Linked DNA regions of Callithrix jacchus. The protein of the gene in region 2 interacts with the protein of the main gene of each other region in a pairwise test. Links are inferred from orthologs where the notes say so. Each region holds a gene or a part of one and is shown on either strand. Other genes may lie near its edges. The genes, in order: CCDC33, PIN1 and GLI1.

The links.
Region 1: the proteins of PIN1 (region 2) and CCDC33 interact in a two-hybrid assay, tested with the Homo sapiens proteins (2 studies listed by BioGRID). The two-hybrid records come from large-scale screens. The link is inferred for Callithrix jacchus from reciprocal best matches to the Homo sapiens genes PIN1 and CCDC33.
Region 3: the proteins of PIN1 (region 2) and GLI1 interact in binary tests that used the Homo sapiens proteins (3 or more experiments, as listed by UniProt). The link is inferred for Callithrix jacchus from reciprocal best matches to the Homo sapiens genes PIN1 and GLI1.

What each region holds. Positions count from the first base shown.
Region 1 is NC_133509.1:21,172,979-21,176,625, forward strand, and holds part of CCDC33 (coiled-coil domain-containing protein 33), read left to right. Parts: intron 1-1,524; coding exon 1,525-1,690; intron 1,691-2,001; coding exon 2,002-2,090; intron 2,091-2,299; coding exon 2,300-2,431; intron 2,432-2,521; coding exon 2,522-2,615; intron 2,616-3,647.
Region 2 is NC_133523.1:9,042,741-9,045,741, forward strand, and holds the end of PIN1 (peptidyl-prolyl cis-trans isomerase NIMA-interacting 1), read left to right. Parts: intron 1-868; coding exon 869-979; coding exon of another isoform or gene 980-1,004; intron 1,005-1,837; coding exon 1,838-1,947; 3' UTR 1,948-2,434; downstream 2,435-3,001. UniProt on the Homo sapiens protein: Peptidyl-prolyl cis/trans isomerase (PPIase) that binds to and isomerizes specific phosphorylated Ser/Thr-Pro (pSer/Thr-Pro) motifs.
Region 3 is NC_133510.1:62,231,920-62,235,666, reverse strand, and holds the start of GLI1 (zinc finger protein GLI1), read left to right. Parts: upstream 1-1,300; 5' UTR 1,301-1,607; intron 1,608-1,817; 5' UTR 1,818-1,963; intron 1,964-3,747. UniProt on the Homo sapiens protein: Acts as a transcriptional activator. Binds to the DNA consensus sequence 5'-GACCACCCA-3'. Regulates the transcription of specific genes during normal development.

The DNA.
Region 1 (3,647 bases), on a different chromosome or scaffold from region 2:
GCAGCTACACTCCAGCCTGTGTAACAGAGCAAGACTCTGTCTCAAAAAAAAACAAAAACAAAAACAAAAAAAAGCAAGAAAGAAACTCCCTTTATGAAACCTTTCATAAATAACAGTAGGGAATTTCTGATTATCACACAAATGCATATAAATATAGCCTATTAATTTTCCTATATATTTATACACAGGCAGGCATGAATTTTTCTCTCATTTGGGGATTGCACTGATAATTCTTGTTTGTAGCCTGCTTTTATCACTTCTCAACATATTGTGAAGCGTCCACGTCTGGAGTTCTCATGGCAGGATGGCACAGCTCTTCAGAACACAGGCTCGAGCCCCTGCAGGCCTGGATTTCACACCCTGGCTCTATCACTCATCACTTTTGTAACTGAGCAAGTGACTCAAGCCCTCTCTGCGCCCTGGTTTCCGCATTGGTAGAACGGGGATAATAGTGTCTATCCTCGAAGGGCTGATGAGAGGACTGACTGAGGGAGGGCACATAAAATGCTTAGAAGAAAGCCTGGAATACAGCGAATGCTCAGTCAGCATCAGACCTCAGGACTGCTGCTATTCCTGACCTCATGGCTGACTCCAGTCCCCCTGTCCCCACCTGATACCCCACATCCTGGAGCTGGATCCCAGCCTCCACCCTGAGTTCTAGCCTGGGTCTTCTGGGGCGACCTTGGGTCATCTTCTGACTACTGGGCTGGTTGGGGAGCTGGCACCCAGTCGCCTTCCAAGTGGCATCAGTGGGATTTCTGAGAGGTTTTTCCCTGGCTTATCAGTGACATGAGAAATGAGAGGAATTAGAAGGGTGGGGATGGAGGGCTGGGCACGGTGGCTCACGCTTGTAATCCCAGCACTTTGGGAGGCTGGGATCCACTGAGGATGGTGGATCATGAGGCCAGGAGTTCGAGACCAGCCTAGCCAACATGATGAAACCCTATTTCTACTAAAAATACAAAAAATTAGCTGGATGTGATGGCAAGTGCCTGTAATCACAGCTACTCAGGAGGCTGAGGCAGGAGAATTGCTTGAACAGGGGACAGAGGAGGTTGCAGTGAGCCGAGACTGTGCCACTGCACTCCACCCTGGGTGACAGAGCAAGAATCTCAATAAATAAATAAATAAGAAGGTGAGGAGGGAGGGGGGAAAAGGTGAAGAAACGGCTATGATTGAGCCGGATCTGGCAAACCTGGCCCTGGATCTTCTCAAGTCTCCATTGCCCACAGGCCTCCTCCCCTGTGTCCACACCTGGGGTTTCCCCCTGTGTTGGTATCACGGGACATGATATGCCCCCCCCCAGAGAGAACATTAATGTGGCTGCCCTCACATGGCCAGGATGGGTGAGGATCAAGTGATAACCACCCCTCCAGGGAGTTGCTAAGACTTAGGGCCATGGTGTGGGGCTCCTCCTGTTCACTGGCCTTGGTGGAGACCTGCTGACTTTCAAGTGTGGGTGTGGACATGGGACCAGGGTTGCTATGGGGCAGTGGGCTCAGCTCTGGGCTCTGGGATCCACAGGATACGAACTACTACCGGCGGGCCATGCAGAAGATGGCAGAGGACATCCTGTCACTGCGGAGACAGGCCAGCATCCTGGAAAGAGAGAACCGAATACTGAGGAGCCACCTGGCCCGGCAGGAGGAGGAAGATGGGCAGGGAAAAGCCAGTGAGGCCTGGCACACAGGTGAGGGTGTGCAGGCCACCATGGGCACCAGGGCATCTGCCTGGGCGCAGACTCCAGGTAGTGCAACAGGGAGGTGGGGAGCTTTTCCCAGACACACATGCTACTGGACTCTGGTGAATAGGAACCCCATGCCCACAGACACTCACACAGCCCCTGCCTAGCTGGGTCCTCTCAGGGATGGCAAATGGAGAATCCAGTCCTGTCCCAAGCCCTGGGCCCGAGGACTATGTGCCTTCCCACTACTGACCAGGCGGATTCGAGCTGAGAGAGGCTCCTTCCTCCCTGAGCTGGCTCACCTACTCACCCAACAGTGTCCGTGAAGCAGAAACTGCTGCTGAGTGAGCTGGATGTGAAGAAACTGAGGGACAGGGTGCAGCATTTGCAGAATGAGCTGATTCGAGTGAGCCGGGGCTTGTGGGGGGCAGAGGGGAGGGAGCTATGGTGGGGGCATCGGGATGAGAAGAGTCTGGGAGGAGAAGGGAAAACAGGCACACAGGGAATGGAGGCACAGAAGAGAGGGGGACCAGCCCAGTGGAGGACTTAGCAGAGGGGCCAAGGTGGGCTCCCAGGCACCCATTCTCTCCCCTTCCCTCCTCCCCCATCTCACAGAAGAATGATCAAGAGAAGGAGCTGCTCCACCTGTATCAGGCTCAGCAGCCACAGGCCGCACTGCTGAAGCAGTACCAGGGCAAGCTACAGAAGATGAAGGCGCTGGAGGAGACGGTGCGGCACCAGGAGAAGGCAAGTGCCAGAGGGGCTATCCCTGAGGCCCACCGATGTCAGCAGGGTAGGGAGCCCCTGGGCCAGCCCAGCCTCTGCTCTGCCCTTCAGGTGATCGAGAAGATGGAGCAGGTGCTGGAAGACAGGCTTCGGGACAGGAGCAAGCCCCCACCTCCAAACAGGCGGCCAGGAAAGCCTGACACAGGTGGGTCCATACCCTGATGTGATCAGCTCCCCGGCTTCTGCCCCACCCCTGGAGGCTTTGCTTTCCTGAAGCCTTTCAGCTTCAGGAGAATCTGCAAAAAGGGTCCCTGTACTCAGTTACATCTGTGGACCTGGGAGACCCAGGATTGCACTGCTCCCCTCCTCTTTCAGGAGCCTCATCCAGAGATCCCCTGAGCTCCTTCATTCCCTAGAAGCGCCTCAGAACACAGTTGGGATTCAGTGTGAGCCAGGCTAGATGGAGGTTGGACCTCCAGAGAGGGCCCTGCAGACTAGCACAGCAGAGAGGGACTTCCCCAGAAGGGCCACCTGGGGCAACGCCTCCCAGCTCCTAACCCCAGAATCCGTCGAATTATTTCATCTCCCCATGTCTCCAAAGATTCTGCCTCTGCAAAGCAAACAAGCAAAAATACTTAGATTAAATCAATGATTTGGGGCCAGGAGTGGTAGTTCATGCTTATAATCCCAGCACTTTGGGAGGCCGAGGTGGTCGGATCACTTGAGGTCAGCAGTTCGAGATCAGCCTGACCAACATGGTGAATCCCCATCTCTACTAAAAATGCAAAAATTAGCTGGCCATGGTATGAGTCTGTAGTCTCAGCTACTTGAGAGGCTGAGGCATGAGAATCGCTTGAGCCTGGGAGGCAGAGGTTGCAGTGAGCCAAGATTGCACCACTGCAGTCCAGCCTGGGTAACAGAGGGAGACTGTCTCAAAATAAACAAATAAATAAATGATTTGGGGGTTTTCTTCCCCATTGATATTAACCAAAAGCCACCTAAAACTGCCAATCAGGCTCGGATAAGCAGAAAGGACCAGGTGACACCTCTCAGGCCAGCCCAAAGCAAGGGACTTCCCTGAGCCTGCCTCTGCAACCTCACCAGAGCCCCTGTGTGCCCAGCCCTGTGTGTAGCCTTCACTGCTGAGGGTTTCAGGGGCAGGAGGGTGTTTCTAGGGACCTTTAGAAAGCAATGAAAGTTGGGCTGGCCTTTCGGGAAGCCTGAGGTCATCCAGGAG
Region 2 (3,001 bases):
CACACACACTCAGCCTTCCCCACTTGGCTGTCAAAACGAGTCACTCAGATGCTACTGTGTTGCCATCTTGCCCCCTCTGCTGGCAGCCCTGTTCCTCCTTCCTCCACCAGCCCTGGCCTTCCCTTCCTCCTGGAGATTCAGACCTGATGGGCTGGTTTGGGCCACACAGGGAGGGGCCATCCTGAGTTCTGCCAGCATGCAGACTGTAGGTAGGAAGCTGGGAGAAGAGCTTTGTCGCCTGCCTCTGGGACCCTGGGACCCACAGTCTTCGAGTGTCCCTTGCAAAGCCCACCAGGGTGCCTCGGAGGCCTTTCCCAGTGCCAGGCTGTTCTTCCCAGATGGAACAGCATGGGAGGGCTGCTGTGGCAGTGTTGGGCCCTCCCTGGACAGCTCTCCTACCTCTGCCCAGAGGACCCCGGGGGCCCAGCCCCCTGCCTGGGTCAGCCTCTCCCTGCCTCCCACTCTGGCCTGTCCAGCTTGGATATAGATTTTCCCTCAAGTGTGTGTGTGTGTGTGTGTGTGTGTGCACGCGCGCGTGTGTGTGCACGCGCGCGTGCGTGCGTGCACATGGTGAGAGTGACAGCGGGAGCAGGGGTGTGAGACTCACAGGGTGGCAGGACTCATGGATGACTGGTGGGGTGCACCAAGTGCTGATGCACATGAAGGTGCATCTTCTTGGGTGAGGACAGGTGTGACTGGGTGCAAGTGTGTGTGAGGAGAAGGGTTGTGGGGCGCATGTGCACTTGTAGGGGGAGGTTTTCCAAGTGAAGTGCTGCCCCCCTCCCACCCAGCTCTGGAGCCCTCCATCCCGTTTGGTCAGGTGCCCCTGCCCCTGACCTGGCACTCCCATTCCATTCCATGTCTGCAGGCTACATCCAGAAGATCAAGTCAGGAGAGGAGGACTTTGAGTCTCTGGCCTCACAATTCAGCGACTGCAGCTCAGCCAAGGCCAGGGGAGACCTGGGCGCCTTCAGCAGAGGTGCGCAAGGAATGGGCTTCACCAGGTCTGGGGACCCTCTCCTCCCTAAGGGGTAGAGGCTGGGAGGGTCTGGGCACTGGGATCCGGGGTGCCACATGGCCCTTCAGGGTCCAGCAGGTGGCAGCACAGCCCCTTCCTCAGGCTTCAGAGTCTGCTCTGCTGGGCAGGGCGGGGGCCACACAGGGTGGGGGCTGCAGAGCTTTCTTCCTGGCATCGTCTCTATCCCGGGCCCACCAAGGCAGGTGCGTCCTGTCCTCTGCCTCTTCCTTTGGGGGTTTAAGGCTGGGTTCCCTGAGAATCCCAGGGAATGTTCCCCAGAATCCCTCTGGGTGGGGGGAGGTGGCCCTGAGTTTAGGCCTGTCTGGCCAGGACAGTGGAAATCAGGGGCAGAGAGGACCAAGCATCCTCCTTTTCCTTCTCAGGGTCTGCAAACAGGGAGAGGCCAGGCTGGGGTGTGGGGTGCATGCATCTGAGGGGGTTGGGGGTCCATAATGGGGCCAGCAGCTTCCCCCCTGCTCCGAGGAGGCTGGTGGGACAGATGACCTGGCAGGGCTGGGAACCAGGCCCAGGGAGATGAGTTCACTACCGAAGCGACCCCTAAACGCGCAGCAGCGGCTGCAGCCCTGCCTGCCATCCTTCATGCTGTCCTCGGGCTTCCTGGGGCCTCTTTAATGGCCCTGCCGCCCCCAGCTGGGCCACCACTCAGCACCGGCAATAAACATGGTGACGGATGAGTGTGGACGAGTGTGAGGCTCAGCGCAGTCAGGAGCCCCATCTATTGTGGCTGCCACCCGCCCTGCCTTATCCTGGCCTCTGACAACCCTGCCTTGACACCCCACCATCCCTCCCGGCTCCCAGGTCAGATGCAGAAGCCATTTGAAGATGCCTCATTTGCGCTGCGGACGGGAGAGATGAGCGGGCCCGTGTTCACGGATTCTGGCATCCACATCATTCTCCGCACAGAGTGAGGGTGGGGAGCCCAGGCCTGGCCTCTGGGTGGGGCAGGGCGGCTGGGCCCGCCAGCTCCCCCACTGCCTGCCGGCCAGTGGTCAAACCCCCTACTCCCTGCCACCGTCAAACAGTATTTATTGTTCCCAAAATGGCTGGGAGGGGGCCCTTCCAGATTGGGGGCCCTAGAGTCCCCACTCCCCGTCCATTCCCAGTTGGGGCTGCGACTGCCAGGCTCTCCCTTAAGGAATTGACTTCAGCAGGGGTGGAAGGTGCCCAGAACCAGGGCAGTGTGGTGGGAGGGGTGTTCCAAAGAGAAGGCCTGGTCAGCAGAGCCGCCCCGTGTCTTCCCCAGGTCCTGGAGGCAGACTCGAGGGCCGAGTTGTTTCTAGTTAGGCCACGCTCCTCTGTTCAGTTGCAAAAGCAAACACTCGTGCGGCCCAGCAGTGGGCCCTCTGAGCAACCGTGCAGTACCCTTTTACCCCAATTAAACACCTAGAACCACTACTCCGCTCTCTTATGTCTCATTTCTCTTTAGGGAAGCATAGGGGGCACCATGTCACTGGGAGGGGATCACAATCCCCCATCCTAAGGGTCCCAGCTATGCGTTTACCCTCAAGAGGCTCCCCCTTGCCCTGGGCCAGGGGGAGTCCCAGCAGCTGGCTCTCAGGGACGTGGGCACTGTTCAGCCACCCAGCACCCTGATACCTGCTTCCCTGGCATCTCAGGTGCTTCTGGAAGGTTCATGGGTCCAGCCCAGCACCCACTGCAGCTGTGGTTACCATGACAACAGGGCCCTCCGGGACTGGAGGGGGCTCCTGCAGGGAGGGGGATGGGAGCAGACACAGCTTCCAGTGCCTGAAGTGGGACAGGGGATCCTGGGGTGGGTGGTGAGGAGATGGGGTCCCCCACCAGTGTTGGGGCTGTGGGTGTGGCCTGCCTGATCCCCATCCCTGTTCAGTCAGCTGTGGGTCTGTTGGATGGAGAAGTGGTTATGCCTGCATACCCTACCCCCCCCTCACTTGATGAGGACCAGCCCAGATTGCAGGGGTGCCTGGCTGGCATTGCTTAGGG
Region 3 (3,747 bases), on a different chromosome or scaffold from region 2:
AGGATGTGGGAAGTTCTTGGAAGCAGAGCTAGGATGTGGGAAGTCTGCCTGGGGGCTTGAACAAAAGAGGGGAAGGTGCTCCTTTTCTATCATGCTTTCTCCTCTTTCTCATAAAAATCAGAGACTGGAATGGTGCCCCTCCCCTATATCTGGTCATGATGGCAACGCAAATCTAAAGGGGCAGGGCACCACCCTGTGAGGCAGTACCGCTGGGCATAGCAACCTCTGACAGTGAGCCTCTCCGTTTCTTTGAGTTCACATATCCACACCTCCTGGGCTTTTTTTTTTTTTTTTTGAGACGGAGTTTCGCTCTTGTTACCCAGGCTGGAGTGCAATGGCGCGATCTCTGCTCACCGCAATCTCTGCCTCCTGGGTTCAAGCAACTCTCCTGCCTCAGCCTCCTGAGTAGCTGGGATTACAGGCCCGCGCCACCATGCCCAGCTAACTTTTTGTATTTTTAGTAGAGACGGGGTTTCACCATGTTGACCAGGATGGTCTCGATCTCTTGACCTCGTGATCCACCCGCCTCGGCCTTCCAAAGTGCTGGGATTACAGGCTTGAGCCACCGCGCCCGGCCCCTCCTGGGCTTTTAACTGAGCTTTAGTGAGGGGACCTGACCGATCTCCTCCTTCGGCTCTCCCACCTCTTCTGCCACGACTGCAAGCAGGTGTCATGTATGAGAACGGCCAGCAGAGGGAGCAGAAAGCCTTGAAGAGCGGCTAGAGCCCTCGGAGGCGAGGTGCGGAGGTGGCCGCAGTCTCGAACTTGCAGACGGAGAGCGGGGGTTCTCCAGAAAGGGGCTTCGGTCCCAGGGCTCACCCTACACCCAGAGCCTCAGCCGCTGCTCCTAGCTTTTGTGCTCCATAGACTCCTCATTTTCTGGCAGAGCCCCTAACCCCTCAATGATTTGCCCCAAACCCCAACTCTGTCCCAGCCTCTCCAAGTTCCATCCAAAGGGTAAGGCATGCCGATAAGCCACAGGATGTCAGAAGGCTCAGTTGGCACCAACCAAAGGCGACTACTTACCTCCACTATTATCCTTCTCAGTTGAACTTCTCCCCCTGTTCCGCAATATTTTCCTGAATTTGGTTTTCTGTCTCTGGGTCGGGACCTCTTTGGGGCCAGCCGATCCAGAAATCCATGCCGGGGTTTACTGCCCACCAACAGCAGAGTGTTGGGGGGGTTGGGGGGCGTAGGCAGTATAGGGTCCCTCAAGGGAGGGGGAGGATCCTGGGGGTCCTGGGGGTGCAATAAGCCCGGCACCCCCTCTCTTGCTTCCAGCTACCCCGCCTCATCCTCCAGAACGGCAGAGGGAGGGAAATAGGAGGGAGTTGAAGGGCGAGCGGGAAGAGCGGCGGCGCGCCAGCGGCTGGAGCGAGAAAAAGTTTTTGCAAAGGGAAAAAAAAGTTTGCGCTTCTCGCGGGTGGTCCGGGCTTGCGGCCCGGCGGGCTGGGCCGGCGGGAGGGCTGGGGGCCAGGTTGGGGGGGTGGGGGTGGCATTGAGGCTGCGCTGCCGTGGCCCTCTCCGCCCCCCCCTCCCCACCGCACACCCCCCAGCCCAGACTCCAGCCCTGGACCGCGCATCCTGAGCCCAGCGCCCAGACAGAGGTGAGAAGGGGGGGCAGGCGGGGGACCACCTGGGAGCAGTGGGGGAGGGGGCCTCAGGGGATGCTCAGCTTCCGAGGGACTCGTCCCAGACCCGGGGACACGGAGGCAAAATGGGGGTGGGAGAGCCTGGGGTGAGACATTAGAAACTCCAATTTTTTCACTTGTATCTTTCTCTGTATCTTCCTTTTCTTCCCTTTCTTCTTCTGTCAGTCTGTGTATCTCTGTCTCAGGCAACCGTGGGCCTTTGTCTCCGCCTCTCCCATATATTAGAAACATCTCACTTTCATGAGGTTGAGAGCTGAAGAGGCTGGAGGGATGGCCAGCTGGAGGTCTGCGTGGTAGAGAGGGAACTCCAGGTGTGTGTCTGCGCGTGGGGCAGGAAGACGTCAGTGTTTCTGAAAGGAGGGGACTGAAAAGGAGGGAGCTCCAGGTGGGGTGGGGACGGGTGTGTGGGAGGCAACAGAACCATTAGGGGCCAGCCGGGCTTGCACCCTTGACCTGTCTCGTGACAGATGTGCCAGTGGATGCTTGTGTTTGGGGGAAAGGAGTGTCTTCTGGACTAGGAAGGGGGCTTGGAGAGGCTGTCCAAGGTCTAGTGAAGGCCCTAGAATGACCCCAGGCAATTTTGGACTCCTGAGTCCCAAGGGCTGAGGGCAAGGCGCTCAGGATGAGCCAGGGAGACCTTGTCTTGACCCTCTGAACTCAGGACCACCGGGGCAGCGGGAGCCAGCCGCAGGGAGACCCCTACCGGGGCTGGGCGGGACCACTGGCCACTGTCAGCCAGTGTATCCCCATTGGTCCCCCGCCCAAACGGGAGCTGGGGACTGAGGCCCCTCCTCTGGCTCAGACCACCCTGCCTGCCCTTGCTCCCCGCTCTGAATCCTCTTTCAGGCCCCATGACCCCGAAACAATCAGCCCTGGGCAGCTAGCTTTGGGGACAGGATTAGGGAAAAGGGACCTGGTAGAGGCTGAGGACTGAGGGTTTTAGGGGTCTGGAGAGCTGGGGTCTTCTGGGATAGGTCTTTACGTCCCAGTAGAGGGAGAAGGCGGGGCGGTTTCCCGGGGGAGTTGTAAGGGTCGGAATAAGGGTGGTTTTCCCTGGGGGGCGGGGTCCAGAGACCTCTCCCCCTCACCGTTATCTCCCTGGCATCCCCGCCCTTGACGTCACCAGGGGGTTCCCGGGGGTCTGGAGGGGTTAACCCTTGGGAAGCCGGCTGCGATACCCAGGAACCTAAGGTGTCCCGGCTCCTCCTCCTCCCCGTACACACCTAATTTTATTGATCCAGTCACTTTCTCTCCTCCATACTTTCTGGATTCTTCTTTCTCATCCCACCTACGGGGACCCCCACTCTCCAGTAGTGCCCCCTAGGGCGCCACTGCCCGCTTTCCGGATGCGCTGAGAGGAGGAGGCAAGAATGTGTCCCGCCCCTTAGCCCCCACCCCTAAGGCTCGCTCGACTGGGCTCCCCGGGCGGGCGGGGGGAGCGGAGTAGTCTGCAGCCAGTGCCTGCGGCGGCGACTTGGGTGGGCCGAGGAGGAACGGGGGCGGGGAAGGCGGGACCGGGAGTAGGGAGGCGGAGCCGACTCCTGGGAGTTGGGGAGCGGGGGTGCGAGGGGGACTCTGGAAAACAGGGAGACGGCGAAGATGGTTTATGGCTCCGGCAGGGGAACCCTAGAGCTCCCTGTCCCATCCCAAATTCTCATACCCCAGAAAAACTTTATCGAAGCTAAAAAATTTGCCTTTTACTAGCCTGAAGGGGAGATGTGGGTGGGCTGTGGCACGCGTGGGTGTGGGCGAGGAGGGATGTCGCCCCATTTCCTTGGAGGCTCTTCGGTGGCTGGACAGTGGGGCAGAAAGATGACTGAGTAGGCAAGATTGGGGGAGTCTCTAGTGTTTGGGGAATCATTTGCCAGTCTGCCTTCTCGGTGAGTTAAAGAGGAAGAAGGCGGGAGAAGTGTCCCCCCCATCCAGCTGCCAGCCAGCTGTGCCCCCCGCCCCCAACATTAGTGCCGAGGTCGAGTTGGGAGGTCTTGGATGCGGCATCCGCATCTCGGCTGGAAAAAGAGTTAGGAAGGATACAGCCCTGGCTGCGGGGCTCGGGCTGGGTCTTGGGGTCCGGGTTCCGCTCCCCGTCTCACCC